Oryza sativa Japonica Group: one gene and its partner. Each later gene encodes a partner of the first gene's protein in a complex. Links are inferred from orthologs where the notes say so. Each region holds a gene or a part of one and is shown on either strand. Other genes may lie near its edges.

Evidence for each region. Proteins that work in one complex are often made in the same cells at the same time.
Region 2: probable mediator of RNA polymerase II transcription subunit 26b (region 1) and mediator of RNA polymerase II transcription subunit 27 share a complex: the UniProt entries of both Arabidopsis thaliana proteins name them as parts of the mediator complex. The link is inferred for Oryza sativa Japonica Group from reciprocal best matches to the Arabidopsis thaliana genes AT5G05140 and AT3G09180.

The regions. Positions count from the first base shown.
Region 1 is NC_089039.1:20,347,252-20,351,471, forward strand, and holds the start of probable mediator of RNA polymerase II transcription subunit 26b, read right to left. Parts: upstream 2,810-4,220; 5' UTR 1,985-2,809; coding exon 1,394-1,984; intron 1,294-1,393; coding exon 1,225-1,293; intron 1,136-1,224; coding exon 1,053-1,135; intron 802-1,052; coding exon 746-801; intron 651-745; coding exon 526-650; intron 421-525; coding exon 393-420; intron 312-392; coding exon 1-311. UniProt on the Arabidopsis thaliana protein: Component of the Mediator complex, a coactivator involved in the regulated transcription of nearly all RNA polymerase II-dependent genes.
Region 2 is NC_089035.1:8,936,450-8,940,757, reverse strand, and holds the start of mediator of RNA polymerase II transcription subunit 27, read right to left. Parts: upstream 2,807-4,308; 5' UTR 2,782-2,806; coding exon 2,453-2,781; intron 680-2,452; coding exon 518-679; intron 1-517. Other genes in the region: pentatricopeptide repeat-containing protein At5g57250, mitochondrial, read left to right, coding at 2,999-4,308. UniProt on the Arabidopsis thaliana protein: Component of the Mediator complex, a coactivator involved in the regulated transcription of nearly all RNA polymerase II-dependent genes.

The DNA of each region.
Region 1 (4,220 bases):
AACAAAGGGCTTCTGCTGAGGAGCTGCCCTTAATGGTCTCCCAGGTCCAGAATCAGAACTCAAGGGCTTAGATTGCTTGTGAAGCATGGCCTGCTGTTTGACTTGCAAACTTGAATTTTGAGGGGTTTGTGGGTTAGCCTGCCTCATTGATGGCTCTTGCCTTGCCAATTCCGGCCTCCTGGATTGAACTTTTTCAACAGCTCCCATGTTACGGGGAGGCTCTTGCTTTGTCAAAGCTGGATGGCTTGTAGGCCTCCTGCCATAATTTTCTCTCTTATTTCCAAGGCTCCCATCATTGTTATGTCTCAAGTCTGTCATAAAATGTATAACTTGAATTATTATAGTGCACAGAAAAAAAAGGGAAACTATGTAATTTGAGTTGTTGTACTTACTTCCATCTTCATCCATTTCATCAAAGAACTTTAGGTCAGGAAGATGAAGCAGAAAGAAAAACAACAATGCAAAGTTAGAATTGTGTTCTGGACCAAAACAATCCAGATACCAGGAACAAACAAAAATTAGTACCTCAGAGAGTTGAATAGCAGTAGTCTGGGTTGCAAAGAACGCCCCTTCATCCAGAGGTGGAGAAGGAAGCCCTTCATCATCAGCATCATCGACAACAGATGTTTTTGAAGAGCCCGGGGAGTTGTCTACAGATCAAAAGATCCATTACATGTTAAGAGGTGAACATTCACTTACAAATTGATGACTCATACGCGATATGAAACAAAATAACTTTTATTACCTGTAAGGGCAACATTAGTGGTGCTGACCCACTCATCAACCAAAATTTTCCAACCTCTGAAAAAAAAATGTTTTAAGACGTCAACAATGTTTCCAAAATTGGTTAATAACCACACTACAAATAAGGTAAATAATTCACTCAAGTAGTACAAAGACTGGAGAATACAGAAGCTAAATCAGTAGACTCGTATCATGTTTTCAGAAACTTATAGGTACAGTAGAGTATCAATTTGCTTCAGCAAGTTCTCTAAATTAAAAGCTAGATCAGCCCTAGAGAATGAAATTTAGTGCAAGCATATTGAACTTACTCAATGAGAGTGCGCACAAGGTGACGAATTTGCTGCGAGTTGTGCTTCCGCAGCCCATTAACAGCCCTCCCAATCTCAGTAGCCTACAACAAACAACATCGGAGATTAGCAAACCAAACAGAACCACTATGCGTCACTCCGCATAGCTCATATGCGCTATCCAACACAGTACCTTCAGCGTGGAAACGGACAATTGCATCAGCTGCAGCCTCCTCAGTGATTCGAACAAAGTAGCATCCGACTGCGAAAACCACAGTTGAGATCAAATGTTAAGTCCCTGTTGAGGAATGGCACAACTCTTACTCATGGAAGAACTGAAAGCTGGGAATAGTTCATCATACATGATCTTCCTTGTGCAAGAAGAGGTCCTTGATGCGGAGAACCTCGCCGACGACCTGTGACTCCTCGTCGATCTCGTTGGTGAGTGCCTCAAGCTCCACAGCCTCGGGGTCCAGCTCTTGTTCTTCGTCCTCTTCAGCCGGCGCCGCCTCCTGCTCCTCCTCTTCCTCCTCGTCGTCATCATCGTAGTTGTGACCGTAGTTGCTCGCCGCGGCGCGGCGGAGGCGCTCGTCGTCGGAGTCAGAGTCAGAGTCGTCATCGACGTCGTCGCGGCGGCCGCCGCCGCCGCCGAGGGCGCCGTTGCTGCTGCTGTCCACCTTGCTCTGCTTCTCGGGGACGCGGCGCACGCTGCCCTTGTCCTCCTCCACGGGGGTGGCCGGGGTCGGGGTGGCGGCGCTGCCGCACCCGTGGTGGCAGGGCGGGGCGCGCGGCGCGGTGAAGAGGATCTCGCAGATGCGGTCGCGGCGGCGCAGGAGCTCCTGCGGCGCGTCGGCGGCGGCGACGAGGATGGCGTTCTCGATCACGTCGCAGATTCCGGCGGAGCCGGCCGCCCCGCGGAGGAGCTCGCGCCACCGATCCAGCCGGTCGGCCATCGCCGCCGCGGCCACCCGAGATCGGGCTCCCCCCACCTCCACCTCCACCCCCACGACTCCGATGGCTCCCCTGGCACCACCAAGAATCGATGCCCTCTCTCGATCACCTCCTCCTCCTCCTCCTCACAATCTTGAAATTTCTTTTTCCCCTTATCAGATTACGTTGCACCAAAAGAATCTAATCCAACCCGATCGCGAATCAGATGCCCCCCACCGAGGGAATCCCCCAACCGGGAAAGCGAAATTCTCCCGAGACAGCGAAAAATCAATCTAACGAACACCGCTGCCTCTCCTCAACGCCAAGAACGAATCAATCAAGAAGAGAAAACCCCAAAAAAAAAAAACAAATCAATCCTCACACCACCCAAACCCAATCTCCCCTCCCTTCCTTTGCTTCACCCCCACGTCCACGTTACTTGACGATTTCAACCCAACAAACAAAACAGCTCCTAACCAAATCTTATCTGTGCCGTCGCCGCCGCAGGAGGAGGAAGACGACGACGACGAGGGGGAGAGGGAATGCGGGGAGGGGGGTTGGATAGGGACGCGGCGGATGGCGAGGCACACGCAACGCAAAAACGAGAGCCCACGAGAACTACGCAAGCTCGACTCTACCAAACAACAACAACTACTCCTCCTCCTAATTCCCCCGCACGCACACCACCACCACCACCATGGCCTCCTAGTGGTAACAACAAATCTCGCGTCTCCCTTTCCCAACTCCTTCCGTTCGTCTCGTTCTCTCTCTCGCGCAACGGAGGTCGCAGCTTTTCTCGGTCTAGGACTTTCCGGGGGGGCCCTTTTTTTTACCGGGTTTGGGGACACAGCCACACAGGGCGAGGTCACTACGGTTTTGGAGAGGGAGGCGGCCTCGTGGCTGTTTCTCGGCTTTGACCCTGTCGAGTTGTTGGTGGGATGCAGGTCCTCTCATGCAGTAGGCTCCCTGACATGTGAGCCCTATAGCCCCTCGGGCCCACATATTAGTGAGCAGTACGGCACATGCAGTACTGGAGAGGATCTCAACTGTTGTTGGTGGGAGTGGGACTAGTACTACTCTTTCCTGTAGTGTTTGGTTGGTAATAGTAGCATTCGTTTTTTGTTTATTGGGCTAATGATTCCCGTTTGATATCCACTTAATTCAAGTTTAGTTTTCAAACTTGGGTAGGTGAGCATCATCTACCATAATATCACTGTTATTATATAATAGGATCATCCTCTTATTTGTTTCATATATAAGTGTCTATAGTATGTGAACCAGTTGTATGCACGTACCCACCTCCATCCCAAAAGAAAAACTCAACTTACGAAGGATTGTCCATTTTTAGATGAATAGAGTACTCTCTCAATTCTATAAAAGACTAAATTAGTACGAAATATGATATATTTTAATACTATAAATCTGAATAGACGTTCAACACTATGTTATTTTTTTTATGGAACCAAGAAAATACGTGCATGCAACCGTAGCCGCCGTAGGCCACTCAAATTTTAAAAAGTAAACTTGGATTGTATCTATATAAATATATTTGTGGTATTAGAATGTGTCACGTTTCGGTAATAGGGTGGTTTTTTTATGGAATGGAGAATGTGCTTTAGGAGTACTATTAATTGTTGAGGCCCAATGGACTATTTTTGGCATCATTTTCGAAACATGGTGCGAGGAAATAGTATTGGATTAGTAAATGCCAATCGATGGTTTGATATAGTATAGCACAGTAGTACACCGTAGGATCAAAGAAATATTTATGCTCTGTATAGCTTCTTCTTTTTTGAATAGAAAAAGAATGGAGTACTTTTAGCATCCTTTTCAAAACAAGGTGCTAATGTAGTAGCGAAATCTTGGATTAGTAAATGGCGATCAAGATTGATTAGCAATATACGCTGTATCATCAAAGAAAATATTTAGGCGGCAAATACTCCTTTCTATTTATAAAAAACTGAGCTATCTATTAACAGTGAAATTTGATAATCGACAAAGGCGTCATCGGCTTAGAATCATTATCGGCTGTAGCATCTCGGAATCAGCCGATGAGAGTTATCAAGTCACCAATAGTCGAATTCCTGCTATATTCGGTTAAGGAAATCAATCTACTAAAGGAAGCTTATCTCTAAGTGACCGAGTTTAAAGAGGATGCGGCATGGCAGTTTATCTATTAATTAGGAATAGTTTGTTAGTTTCCTTTTTATCTTTAGAAAAGTGTGTTTAGTGTCCGATAAGGACTTTATATTTTCCTTT
Region 2 (4,308 bases), on another chromosome or scaffold:
GACTAGGGGATGATCCGAAGGCTTGAAGCCTTCAACATAAGTACATACATCTAAAGAAGCACATGAATGAAGGGCGTTGGAATATTTCCGATGCATTCTGTGTAAAATCAAAATAAAATATGGATGCAACGAAAACAAGAACTGATCTAATACTTCAATTCCTACAAAAGCACTCCACACCTTGGAAGAATGTAATTATCATAGTAGAAGGATTAGAGAAAGCAAAGTGCAAAAGAAGAAACAAAAGAGGGAAAAAGGAGAAATAAGGGAAAAAGGGGAAAGAGGGAAACAACAGTACAAATTTAAAGGGGAAAGAGGGAAACAACAGTACAAATTTATCGGCCAAGAAAATTATCGTATATCGCAGGAAGAAATAACATGGTATAAATATTTAATCTGCATTCTGCAATGCACGGTTGATGAAATCTCACACATCAACAGAATATAAATAAGACAAATAAGCACATCATATTGTGGCAGCAAACATACAACACAACAATGATGGTAATGAAATTACCTAGTTCTGTCAACAGCTGATGCACCAGCCTGACCAGCCAGCTGACGCTTCCAAGCATATGCCACAACTGCACCATCTGGACAAACAAGTGGCATGTGCAAGCCCCATGAATTGCCTCTGGCTTTAAGGGCTCCATTTAGAACTCCAGACTCTTCCAATTGCCTTCCTAACAGCAATGGATACAAGATATTTATTAGGCTACAGTTTAAAAACTAGATCTTTACTTTCAGTTGGCTAGGCCAACACTTATGAAGAAATAGTGGAACTTGAAACTTGAAGTTCAATAAAAATAATTGGAACTTACCAGGAGAACTGTGTAAGCAATGATTGATGGTTCATCACAAAGTAAAAACATCATGAATAGCAACAAGCACAACTAACCCAAACACTATAACAAGAATACTGTGAAAGAACAATAAGAAAGCACCAGCAAAATCGAGTGAATCCATCCTGTTCACATACCTAACTTTATTGAAGATGGCTCCTAATATCCTTTGACTTAAAAAAATCTCAGTCACATGGCTTAAGCTTATCTAGTACTCCTAACTTCAGGATTTTCACAAACTAACTATTCTGTCTAAAATCATAACTATATCACCTGCAAATTTCATCTTCCGTTTATCTAGCAACTTCAGGTTGCAGAAAGACTCAAAAACCATCGTTTAACAAGCAGTTCATATTGCTTGGACATTTTATTCATCAGACAGAATAGTACCATGTTGCCATGAAACATGGATTTTCCAAATGCCTGCAGACTTCTTCAACAAACGACTGGTCAAGTGGTCACATGTAAACAATTGTACCCAACACATAACTGCTCTGCTGAGACAATATTATAGAGTGAGCACCTACCCTACATCCTTACCATCCACGAGTGATACTAAAACTAGTTCGAGCCCTGAGTGGCACTAAGGTGGTGTTTGGATCCAGGGACTAAATTTTAGTCCCTGTCACATCGCATGTTTGGATACTAATTAGAAGTATTTAACGTAGACTAATAATAAAATTAATTGCATAAATGAGAGCTAATTCGCGAGACAATTTTTTTAAACCTAATTAATCCATAATTAGCACATGTGTACTGTAGCATCACATAGGCTAATCATGGATTAATTAGGCTCAATAGATTTGTCTCGCGAATTAATTCAAGGTTATGAAATGGATTTTTTCATTAATCTACGTTTAATACTTCTAATTAGTGTTAAACATCTGATGTGACCGGGACTAAAATTTTAGTCCCTGATCCAAACAGCCCCAAAACAAGTTCAAGCTGAAGCTGTTCAATTAAGGTTAAATATTGCTCTATTACAAGCCAAGGAACACGAGTTCCAGAAATGCATCCCAATCTGATAGACCCAGGCACCCAGCCAATATTCTAGAATGCTAAAGTTCATATACCAAAGTTGAGCAGTTAAGCCTGTCCGTGCATCTCTCGTAGCAAGGTTTCATAGGTAGAAGGGTTTCACAAGATACAAGCAATTGGATAACACCAAAGAAGAGTGTGGCATCAGTTTATGGTGATTAACCATTATTACAGAACAATTTAGTGGAAAAAAAATGTGCTGCCATGCCTAAACTGGGAAGGAGATTATTACTTTAAAAAAAGTCCAATCATACAATCCAAAGAAGTTAAATCAATATCCCAGCCACCAATTTCCAGAAATTATCTAGACAAGGGTTTTCCTTTTTCTTCTTGAGACTGCAACCGTGGTATCATGACGGGAATATTTCTTTTTCATTTTGAGACTGCAACCGTGGTATCATGACGGGAATGTTCCTTTTTCATTTTGAGACTGCAACCGTGGAATCATGACGGGAATGGTTCTTCTCGGAGGGAATTAGTTGTATTTTGCGACGTAACAGTCAAAGGTTAAGGAATCGATGAAAAACTTCTGAATCGGAGAGTGTGGGGGCACGGGGCGGAGATGGGTTTACCTCCCGAGCGCGCGGAGGTCGTCGAAGTGGCGGTGCATGGCGGCCTCCTCCTGGGCGACGGCGAGCGCGGTCTTCTCAACGTGCTGCGGGGCGCTGTGCGGGGGCGCGTCGCCGGCGACGAAGAGCGCCTCGAGCAGACGGTCCGCGCCCAGCCGGATGTCCGCGATGAGCCGCCCCGCCCGCCCCAGCCGCTCCATCGCCTGCGCCACCTGCTTCGGCGGCGCGTCACCCCTCGCCCCCTCGTGCTGGTGCCCCGTCGCCCCCGCCGCCGCCGCCGCCGCCGCCGCCACCGGCGCGGCCACCACCGCCGACGCCTGCGCTTGCTGCATCTTCCTCTTCTCCCCTTCTCGCTTCCGACTCGAAACGCCTCACCTAAATAAGCCCATATCCAAACAGGCCCAGAACCAATACAAGCCCATATCTATTCAGGCCCAGATCCAAACAAGCTCGTATCCAAATTCGGCCCACGCCATCGGCTTCCAACGTTTCGAACGTTTGCGCTTCGCTTCCCACGCGGCGGCGGCGCCACCACCACCACCCTCCGCCATGCCGCTCGCCGGCGGCGAGCCCCGACCACCACCGCCGCTCCCGTCGCTGGTCAAGCTCGGAAGGGCCGTCACGCCGCGCCGCGTGGACATCCTACTGGCGGCGCTCCTCCGCCGGCGGAGGCACCGCCTCGTCGGCGCGCTCGCCTCGCAGGCGGTCGCCAACTCCGTGCGCCCCACCGCGCGCACCCACCTCCTGGTCGCCTCGGCGCTTCTAGATTCTTCCCGTCCGCGCGACGCGGCAGCGCGCCTCGCGCTCGCCGGCCCGGCAACCTCCTCCGCGCGCCGCCTCTGGGACGCGCTGCTCCGCCGGGCCTGCGCGGTGCGCGGCGATGCTCGCCGCGCGCTGGAGGTGCTCTCCGCCGGCGTAGAGGAGTGCGGGCTCGTGTTTTCTCCGTCCACGTATCGTGTGGCCCTGACGATGCTGTGTGCCCGCGGTGACATGGAGACCGCGCTCAAGGTGTTCGACGTAATGGCTGCAGCGGGGTGTCAGGTGGATGATCGTGTTTGCAGCGTGATCATTTCAGGCTTCTCCAAGGTCGGGAAGGCTGGGGATGGGCTGGAATTCTATAGGAGGGTGAGGAGAGAGTTCAATGGATTTGAGCCAGGCTTGATCACATTAACCGCTTTTGTCGATGTGCTTGGCCGTGTAGGGAGAACTACTGAGGCAGCACAATTGGTAAGGGAGATGGAAGGGAAGGGGTTGGTTGGTGATGCTGTTTTATATGGCAGCTTGGTTCATGGATACATGAGTAGCGGGTTATTGATGAAAGGGCTCCGTGAGCATCGGGTGATGTTAGATAAGGGCATTGCAGCTGATGTAGTTAGTTATACTACTGTTATTGATGGACTTTGCAGAGAACGTAGTGTGGAAAAAGTGATGGGATTCTTGGATGAGATGAACCGAAGGGATGCTAAGCCGAATTTGATCACTTATACATCATTGATTGGTGGTTTCTGCAAGAGAAACAGGTTGGATGATGCTTTTTCTATAGTGAGGAAACTGGAACAGACAGGAGTGGTGGTGGATGAATATGTTTACTCAATTTTGATTGACAATTTGTGCAAAAAGGGATATTTGGATAGGGCTTTCTCTTTGCTTGAAGAGATGGATAAAAAGGGGATAAAGATTGGAATCGTAACATACAATTCAGTAATAAATGGTCTATGTAAGGTTGGTCACACCAAGAAGGCTGTTGAAATATATGAAGGTATTGCTGCTGATAACTTCACATATAGCACGCTGTTACATGGTCACATTAAGGTAGAAGATGCAACTGGTGTAATGGCAATAAAAGGTAGGCTTGAGAG